2 linked regions of the Macaca fascicularis genome follow. The protein of the gene in region 1 interacts with the protein of each later gene in a biochemical or structural test. Links are inferred from orthologs where the notes say so. Each region holds a gene or a part of one and is shown on either strand. Other genes may lie near its edges.

Region 1 (4,526 bases):
CCTAGTTATGTTAGTTATGGGGCTTTGGGGCAAATTGTAGAACTTCTCCGAATCTGTTTCTCATCAGTAAACTGCAGACCATCATTCCTCATTAGAGGATAATTATGAGATCAGGTGTGACCACAGGTGCATGCCTTCAGCACAGGGTCTATGCCAGCTCCCTCCCGCCCACGTAAAGGCCTGCCACTAGGTGGCAGTCCATCTCAGCTACCCCACCGCTCCCTAGGCCAAAGAAGCTGGCTAGGACAAAGTGTCTCAAAGTCATGCTGAATTCTGAGCTTCTTAGGGGATGCACTTGAGGATATCAACGAAACACACAAGTTTCCACTACAGCAAGACAAAGTCAGAAGCAGCAGCCCCAGGTCACTATCCAGCTGAGTAGGTTGCCTGAGCACACACTCTTACATACTTACAAACTCTAGTCCTACTATCCCACAAATCCCAGGAAGCCTGGCTCTTTCTCTGGCATCAGCTGGAAGCTCTGTTGGGCTTCTCACCTCTGAAATGCAGTAAGTTGTCCTGCTGTGTCTGGCAGCCGACCCACTGCCTGGCTCAACATATCAGACTCCACTGCGACCGTTGGTGTCCTCAATTTTGGCGGTGCTGACAGCGGCAGATAGATTGCAGGGGTGAGTTTCAAGAATGGCTTCAGAAAGACGAAGAGTATGAATTATTCCATAACCAGAAAAAGGCCTTGTGGCTGGAGAATGGAGAGCGAAGGATCACTTGTGAGAGATGAAACTGGTGAGATGGGCAGGTCATATAGAACCTGCTAGGCCAAGCAGCGAGTGTGGATTTTAGGTGCAATAGGAATTCATGGAGGGTTCTAGGCTGGATGTAGGGGATCATTATTTAATTTCATTGTAAAGACTTAAAGCATGGAGAATAGATCCAGGCAAAACAAAAGTGAATAGTCTGGGTGACAGGAGATGGGGCCTTCAGCTTGTGGGTTCAGTGAACAGATCTTGATGGATTGGAGGTGAGGCAGAGGGAGCAAAGTTATCTGCAAGGTTTTTGGCCTTCCAACTTAGAGGAGTTTAGCGCCACGTTCTGAGAAAGTGAAGACTGGAAAGAACCGTTTGGGGAGGGAAGGTGAGCTGTCTAAGGTGGGGGGATGTGGCACATGCAGTGGGATGCTGGGGCCTGGAACGTAGGGGAGATGCAGGTTTCGAGTCATCGGTGCCTGTGTGGCGGGTAAAGCCAGGGGAAAGGTCAGGTCGCCTTGGGATCTGGCCTAGCACTGAGTGCAGAGGAAGAGAAGCTTCTGAGATCGAGAAGCAGCGGCCACAGGAGGAGGAGGAAAGTAAGGCGGGGAAAATCAAAGTTCAGGAGAGCATTTGCAGGAGGGGCGCCCGGGATCAGACTCCAGTCCCGCCGCGTGGAGACGGAGCGTACAGAGGCCCATGCGAAGGACAGACACAAAGGCCCTGGGAGCTGCAGGTCAGGCCGCTGGGCAGCGCGGCCGCGGACTTAACGCCCCTGCAAGGGGCTGGGGGGAACTCTCCGAACGAAAGGACCACTGAAGGCCACCCTGGCAGCAGAGGCGGAACAGACAGACGTGGGTCTGGCCGTCCCAAGAGCGGCCAGGGGCCAGCCCCGCGCTGCCGGGGGGCGGGACATGTCGGCTGTCCATCAGTGCCTGCGGCCAATCCGCAGGCGGCCCCGCCCCCGCCCCTCTCAGGAGAGGGCGCGCGGAGAACCCGCTGCCACCGCCGGTGTGAGGCGGCCCGGCCTGGCTCCCTTCGCCGGGAAGCCCGCCCAGGTAACTGGGTTTGGCCAGGCATGCCCGGAGGACGCGCCACCTCCTCGCGTCCCGTCCTGGTCGCTGCATGGGCGGTGTTCGGGACGCGGGGGCTGCGTCTGTGCGGGACCGCGGGCTGGCAGACGCCCGTGCGAGTACGCCTGACTGGCGCGCCGGCTGCGGGGCCTGCGGCCTGTGGGCGGGGCTGCCGTGCGTGACAGGGCCGCTCGTGGCCGCCGGGCTGTGTCCGGGGCTGCGTGAGAAAGCTCTGCGGGACTGAGGGCTGGGTGGGTCGACCGGGAACGGCGCGCGCTCCCGCCGCCATCGAGCCTCCGTCCCCGCCTGCGGCCTGTCTGGGGGTCGTGGGGCGCAGGCGCAGCGGGCCGGCGGGCGGGGGTCCTCCCCACGGGTGCGCGGGCGCCTTTGTTCCCGGCGCGCGAGCGGGGCGGGGCCTCAGGGCCGCCCCGCCCCGCCCTGCCGCGCTCAGGCCCCGCCCCGTGTCCGCCTGCAGGAGCAGCCGCCGGGTCCCGCTCGTCGGCCGCCTCAGCCTCAGCCCCAACCTCAGCCGGCGTCGTTGCGCCTGCTCCCGGGCCGTCCCGGCCTGTGCCGTCGCCGCCCCCAGCGTCGGAGCCATGGCGGGCGCCGCATCCCCCTGCGCCAACGGCTGCGGGCCCGGCGCGCCCTCGGACGCCGAGGTGCTGCACCTCTGCCGCAGCCTCGAGGTGGGCACCGTCATGACTTTGTTCTACTCCAAGAAGTCGCAGCGACCCGAGCGGAAGACCTTCCAGGTCAAGCTGGAGACGCGCCAGATCACGTGGAGCCGGGGCGCCGACAAGATAGAGGGGGCCAGTAAGTGCGCCCCCTTCCTGCTTGGGCCCGCCGCGCGCTAGGGTCGTGGGAGCCCGGCCCAACTGCCTGCGCCCCGGCCGGCCGCCCCAGCGACTTGGGCAAACTTTCGGGCCTTCCCCCACCCCCTCGGGGCCCCGCCCCCGCTTCGTCTCGGGTGGTCACTGGGGGCGGGGGGCATCCGGGTCCTCGGTCACCTGACAGGACACCCCCTCCCCCAGCTGGGGGGAGTTACTGTTCCTGGAGCTTTGCCCTGAGGCCTAAAAAATCCTCGCGGGCTGGAGATCTGCGGTGCGGGCATCGGGCCCCCCCAGACCCTGGGAGTGGTGGTGGCATCGTTGAGGGGAGCTAAGGCAGCGGCCCCAACCCAGCACGGGAACCTGGGGCCTGACCAGACGGTCCCCGCCCACCACTCTTTTTCCAGAAAGAGCAGTCTCTGAAACTCTCCGGGCCCCCAGGCTGGGCTCTTGGTTGCAAAGGAACCTTTGGGTTCCCTAAGTAGAACTTAGGCAGATGTTGGGTAGGGCTGGTCTTGGAGCGGAGCCGGGCCTACTCATCTCCCTCTGGGGGAGAGGGAGGAAGGTGGTCTTGTTTGGTTTGGAGAAGCCTGAGAGAAGGCAGTGGCTGTTTTTTTTGGTTTTGTTTTGTTTTGTTTTGTTTTGTTTTTAATGCTACTTTTGTCCCAAAGCTGAGTTTTGGAAGCCTATGTGGGTGGGCAGACACTCAGTGCCAGAACAGGGACTCCCCTTGCCCTGGGAAGCACGTTCCCAGAAGATGGGCCCCATAAAGGCCTGCCCCAGCGCCTTGGAGTCAGGTACTCTTCTCAGGAGTGCAGCTAGTTTGGAGTCTAGCCCTTTGTCCTCTGTCCGGTGGCTTCAGGGAGCGGGAGCGGCTTCTCTTGGTTTCCTGCCTTTTCGCCTTCCCAGGCCTGAGCTTGGCTGCTTTTGTGCTGGTCTGTAGTGGGAGGAGGGAGTTGGGGGATTTTGAAAAACCCCAGATCTTTGAGAGTTGTTCCACTTAGCGCGTGCCTGTGCTGTGGTCGGATGGGCACTCTGCTTTGCCACTCCATTCCCCCGCCTCTCAGTGTGAAGAGATGGTGTGTCTGCAACTCCAGACTAGGTTGCTTCTTGCAGGGACCCCCGGAGACTGGGGTTAGACCCGGGCTCAGAACCAGGTCTGTGTGAAGGAGGGGGATCAGGAAGTGACACCCCAAAGGGGGGGTCCCACAAACCTTCTTGGGTATGGTGTGCATGTGTGTAGATGGTTGAGGAGATTGGGAGGAAGGAAGGTCTTGTGGTGAGGCAGCCAGCCATCCTCAGCTACAAACTCCAGATCTGACACAGATCTAACGCAGCTGCTCAACTTAGAAATGGCAGCCGCCTTCCTCAGTGCCCCCACTGACCCTGTCAGCCACTGGGAGAATATTTTAGTGACTTGAGAGCCTGTGGATTCCAAAGTAGAGGAAGGATGGGCACTGCAAAGAGCTGAGATAATCCTGGGAACGTCACTCAGGCATCAGACTCCAGGCATGGTCCCCTTCCTTGCTCCCTATGCTGTGTTGAGTTGGTGGCACTGGCTGAAAGTTCTCAAGAGATCTCCTGGGTAACAGACTGCATTTTAAACCATGCATATTAGCAGGCAATAAATGTAGCACAGTGGTTGATGGCAAGTCTGGATTTGAAGCCCATATATTTGTTGTATGTTTCCCAGCCAGTTACTTACCTTCTCTGAGCCTTGATTTCCTCATCTGTAAAATGGGGGTAGTAATATATCCACTATATATGGTTGCTCCAGGATCAAATGAGACAATTCATGTAAAAATATCTAGCATTGTCTGACACATAAATGTTTAATAAATGTGAGCTGTTATTAGTAATAACATTAACAATAGACCATAGCTGCCCTTCAAGACCCTCAACTGGGAATGGTGAGGGGGTGA
Region 2 (4,541 bases), on another chromosome or scaffold:
TGGGTCTTGTGCAGCTCCAGAGGTCCAGCACCCAGCCAGGACTTCACACATAGGTTCACTGTGGGCCAAGTGACCAACTAACTCGCTGAACACTCACGGATTCGGTGAGGGCAGCACCAGAGGCCAGACCTACCTGGCCATCTGTGGTCCCTGGGTCCTGGCTGCAGGCTGCAGCTCCCCTTGCCAGCTGGCCAGCAGTGTGCACCACCCTGGACCCTGCTACAGTCCTGGGGCTAGGGAGGTCAACCTCTGGTTCTCCAGGGGTGCCAGCCACCAGAGAGGGAACGGGAAAATCCAGAGGGCCCACCACGTGAGGAAGCAGAGGTTCAGAGAGGATGCCCACGTACATGTACATGGCCAGCCCTGCCCCCACGCCCTCCCACTGTGCTCCCTGCCACCCTGGGGACTCACATTTGAGCAGCTGCAGCTGGGTACCGCCCTTCTTGTGCAGGTAGCCAGCCTTGGCCACGCCCCCAGGCATGGTTAGCAGGTTCTGGGCACCAATGGCCTTCATAGGGACAGGCCAATGCATCTCTTCAGCCGCCATGAAGCTGCAATAAAGAACAAAGGCATGAGGCTCAGCTACGGTCAGGCAGGAGATGGCTGAGCCAGGGCGCTCATGGGGACACTGCCAAGATCCAGGACACAGCATGGAGGGTGGGGCCATGACAGGCAAGGAAACCCCTTTTCTGCAGGCCTTGGGCTTCCGGGTGGGACCCCAAGGAGAGACAGAGCCACCTGGTCCACTCAGTCAGCCCCTGGTCCACTCGGCCACACACCCGACCCCAGGATCCTGAGTGCTACGTGCAGCCCTTTCTCTCCACTGGTTCATTCTGCACACAGCAACTGAGTGCAAGGCCCCGTTGGGGCTGGGTAGAGATGAAAGAACTCAGAAAACCCCAGTCCAGGTAAGTCAGACTTCAGGCCATAACTACTTCAAGTCCCAGTGCCAGATGAGCCTATAAGGGGCCTAGACAGGAAGAAGGCAAGTGAGCAGCCAAGAGCCCCCAGTTCCCAGGTCAAACGACCCGGACTCCCGTCCTGGGAGAACCCAAGACTCAGTTGCTGGAGAACAGAGTGGATACCCAGCCCAGCACACAGCACACTGTGGTCAGCAGTGGCCGTGACCACCATTTGGTGGGTTGGTTGCTATTCACCCCACCAGCCCAGGATATCACTGCCATTCCCTCTGAGCCCAAGCAAGGACCACACAGTCAGTGGAGGACCAGTGACTGCCTTGGGGCTAACCCAGGCCCACCAGACCCAACGTCATGCCCTGCCCCCTACTCCAGCCACCCTTACTCATGCTCCAGCTGCTCTCCTTGAGATCCACCATGCTGTTTAATGCTTCCTCCTCTGCCTGAAATGACCTCCACCCCTTCCCATGCAGAGAACTTCTACTCATCCATCAAGACCCAGGTTGAGAGTCTCCTCTTCTGCTAGGCACCCTCACTGCCCACTTAAATCCAGCATCTTCCTCACCTCTGATCCCAGTGAACAGTACCCCCACCCTGCATTGTTTGGTCTGTGCCTGCCCTCATTCCATCCTGGGTAGGTCCCTCCTGGGGCCCCAGTGGAGTTGGATGGGAGCAGGCCTGTGGCCAGTGTCCTGTTAAGCCCTTAATGGAGCAGCTAAGGTCAGATCCAGATGCCCAGTGGGGCTGGGACTGATTCCACTACAGCTCCAACCCCAAAAAACACACATAAAGAAAACTAAACCAGGGCAACATAGAAAGACACCATCTCTAAAAAAAAAAAAAAAAAAAAAAAAAATTTTTTTTTTAAAATTAGTCAGGCATGGTGGGGCACATCTGTAGTCCCAGCTGCTCTAGGAGGCTGAGGCAGGAGGATCACTGGAGCCCAGGAGTTTGAGGCTGCAGTGGTCTGTGATCATACCACCACACTCCAGCCTGGGCAACAAAGCGAGACACTGTCTCTAGAAATAAATAAAACAGCCAGATACAGTGGCTCACGCCTGTAATCCCAGCACTTTGGGAGGCCAAGGCAGGCAGATCACTTGAGCTCAGGCGTTCAAGACCAGCCTGGGCAACACATAGAGACCACCATCTCTAAAAAATAATTAGCTGAGCTTGGTGGTGCACACCTATAGTCCCTGCAGGAGGCTAATCCAGGAGGATCTATTGAGCCAGGAGTTCCAGGAGGCAGTAAGCTATGATTGGCCACTGCTCTCCAGCCTGGGCAACAGAGCTGGAGCTAAAAATAAAAAATTAAAAACAAAATAAATAAAAAGAAAAGTACTCTCCGCTTTTAGCAAACCAGCACAAGTGCAAGAGGAAGTCTCCAAGGCATCAGGCTGTCTTCTGCCGGCCTCGGCCTGGGTCACCCGGCTGGACCCCACCAGCTCCCTCTGCACCCAAAGCCAGCCCCTCTGGGCGGGTCCCAGCCGCAGGGCCCCCAACCACAGGCCAAGGTTTGGAACAAAGGCGCCGCCACACCCCAGCGCTCGCCCTACCGCGCTCGGCCCGAGGGAGCTCCACGCAGTGGGGATGGAGGGGGGAGCCCCGTGCCCGGTCCGCCCGCGGAGAGCTGCCCGCAGACCGACAAGCCCCGTGCCGGCCTGAGCCCCCCACCCGCCAGCTGGGACGGTCCACGCCCGCCTTTGTTCCCCCAAGAAGCGCGTGGGCGACCAGCAGCGCCCGGGGCTCGCGGCCCGGGTCCAGGGGGTCGGGGCGCGAGGTCCAGACCCGGAAGCTAGAGGCCCGCGTCCCGGAGTCGGGGCTGGTGCTCGGTGCTCGGTACTCACGGCGTCCACGCGGCGGGCACGGCCGGCTTCCCCGGGGCGGTCCACGCCCGCCTCCCCTGCGAGCACCGGCACGGCCCCGGGCCGCGCCCCCCGGCCGCCGCCGCCTCATCCCGGGCGCCCGCCTCCCGCCGGCCCCAGCTCCGCGGCCGCGGCCCGGAGCCCGCCATGCCCGCCGCGCCCGCCGGCCCTGGCCCGGCAGCCGCCGGCTCCTCCCCTCTCGGCGGGGGACGGGGCGGGCAGGTGAGGATCCCGGGCCCGCCCCTCCCGGCACCGCCCCCTGCTGCGTCACCGTGCGCGGCCGCCCCCTGCAGGCCTCAGTTTCCCCACGCTGCAAGGAGGGTGGTGGGCGCTGGGGACAGGAGGCCCACATCTGTCGGTGCAGCCTGGAATCAAGAAGCCTTCGATGCAAACGAAGCCTCCTGCTCCACTCCCCCAGCACCTGCGAGTCCACACAGCTTGGTTGGAAATCCACGGCAGGCGCGAGGGCCTCGGCTCTGAGGCCCTGCCCAGGTCCCATCTCGTCGGGCCCTTCTATCTGACCAGCTCTCTCGGGAAAGTGGCCTCTGTTAAAACGGCACCTGCACGGAGGGCGGCAGCAGGGCAAGGGATCTGGCACGTGCCCCGCCCTCACCTCAGCTTCCTGCGGGACTCCTTGGGCCTTCAGCCCCAGATTCCCCAAGGAGCCAGGGGTCTGGTCCTTGGCACCTCCCACCTGCTTGCCCATATGCAGGCGCCTCACCCAGGAGAGTCCCCTGGGGTGGCAAAAGGCCAGCAGAGGCCCTTGCTGGCCTCCCAGGCATCCTGCCTCCTCCATCTTCCACCTGCACACAGGCTGCCACCAAGATGGACCAGGTACAGGTGTGGCTCTATAAGCCTGGGCCTGACCTCACCTAGCTGTCCATCTGGGGCACCCACCCTGGTTTCAAGGCCCCACCTCAGGCCCGCTCTCTGGGCTTCCCACTGCACCCAGCTTTCAAGGCTCTGTCCCATCTCTGTGCCCTTGTCTGGCCTGCCTCAAGGCTCCCACCTCCTTCCAGCCACCCTGCCAGGCCCCTCTCCATTGCCTCTTGGCAGCCCCCTCCACTTCCTCTCCTCAGGCCTCCCGGGCCTCCAGCCCCCCACCCAGCATAGAATCAACATGCACACCATTCCCATCACTGCTCAGTGCTAAACCTCTAGGGCCTCCTCATGCCAAACTGGCCCTCCCTGATTCAGTCACTCCTGCCCTCTACCTTCTGTGCTCCTATGCCAGCCGGACCCTATGGCTCCAGTTGCCTGAATCGAGCAAGCACCCACTTGCAGGCCTCAGCCCATGCTGTTGCCACAGCCTAAAGTTGAAATTGAACTAACCCAGCCCTCAAAAGTTGGCTCAAAAGAACACAGCTCCTTCACAAATTTCCAGAAAATAGAAGAGGAGGGGAACTCATTCTATGAGGCCAGCATTATCCCAATACCAAAATCAGACAAAGACATCACAAGTAAACTACAAACCAATATCCCTTATGGATATAGACATAAACATCCTCAACAAAATACTAGCAAACTGAATCCTGCAACATATAAAAGGGATTCTACACCAAGACCAAGTGGAATTTATCCCAGGAATGCAAGGATGGTTTAATATTCAAAACAATGAATGTAATACACCATATCAATAGAATAAAGGACAACCACATGATTTTGACAGATGAAGAAAAAGTGTTTGACAAAATTCAACACTCTTCCATGATAAGAACAGTCAACAAACCAGGAATAGGAGGGAACTTCCTCAGTCTGA

The links.
Region 2: the proteins of PLCG1 (region 1) and SH3BP2 form a complex in vitro, tested with the Homo sapiens proteins (2 studies listed by BioGRID, with this or other methods). The link is inferred for Macaca fascicularis from reciprocal best matches to the Homo sapiens genes PLCG1 and SH3BP2.

Annotation. Positions count from the first base shown.
Region 1 is NC_088384.1:97,242,024-97,246,549, forward strand, and holds the start of PLCG1 (1-phosphatidylinositol 4,5-bisphosphate phosphodiesterase gamma-1), read left to right. Parts: upstream 1-1,679; 5' UTR 1,680-1,762; intron 1,763-2,250; exon of another isoform or gene 2,251-2,252; 5' UTR 2,253-2,373; coding exon 2,374-2,590; intron 2,591-4,526. UniProt on the Homo sapiens protein: Mediates the production of the second messenger molecules diacylglycerol (DAG) and inositol 1,4,5-trisphosphate (IP3). Plays an important role in the regulation of intracellular signaling cascades.
Region 2 is NC_088379.1:2,997,010-3,001,550, reverse strand, and holds the start of SH3BP2 (SH3 domain-binding protein 2), read right to left. Parts: upstream 2,980-4,541; 5' UTR 2,932-2,979; coding exon 2,765-2,931; intron 2,594-2,764; exon of another isoform or gene 2,474-2,593; intron 1,697-2,473; exon of another isoform or gene 1,303-1,696; intron 552-1,302; coding exon 412-551; intron 1-411. UniProt on the Homo sapiens protein: Binds differentially to the SH3 domains of certain proteins of signal transduction pathways. Binds to phosphatidylinositols; linking the hemopoietic tyrosine kinase fes to the cytoplasmic membrane in a phosphorylation dependent mechanism.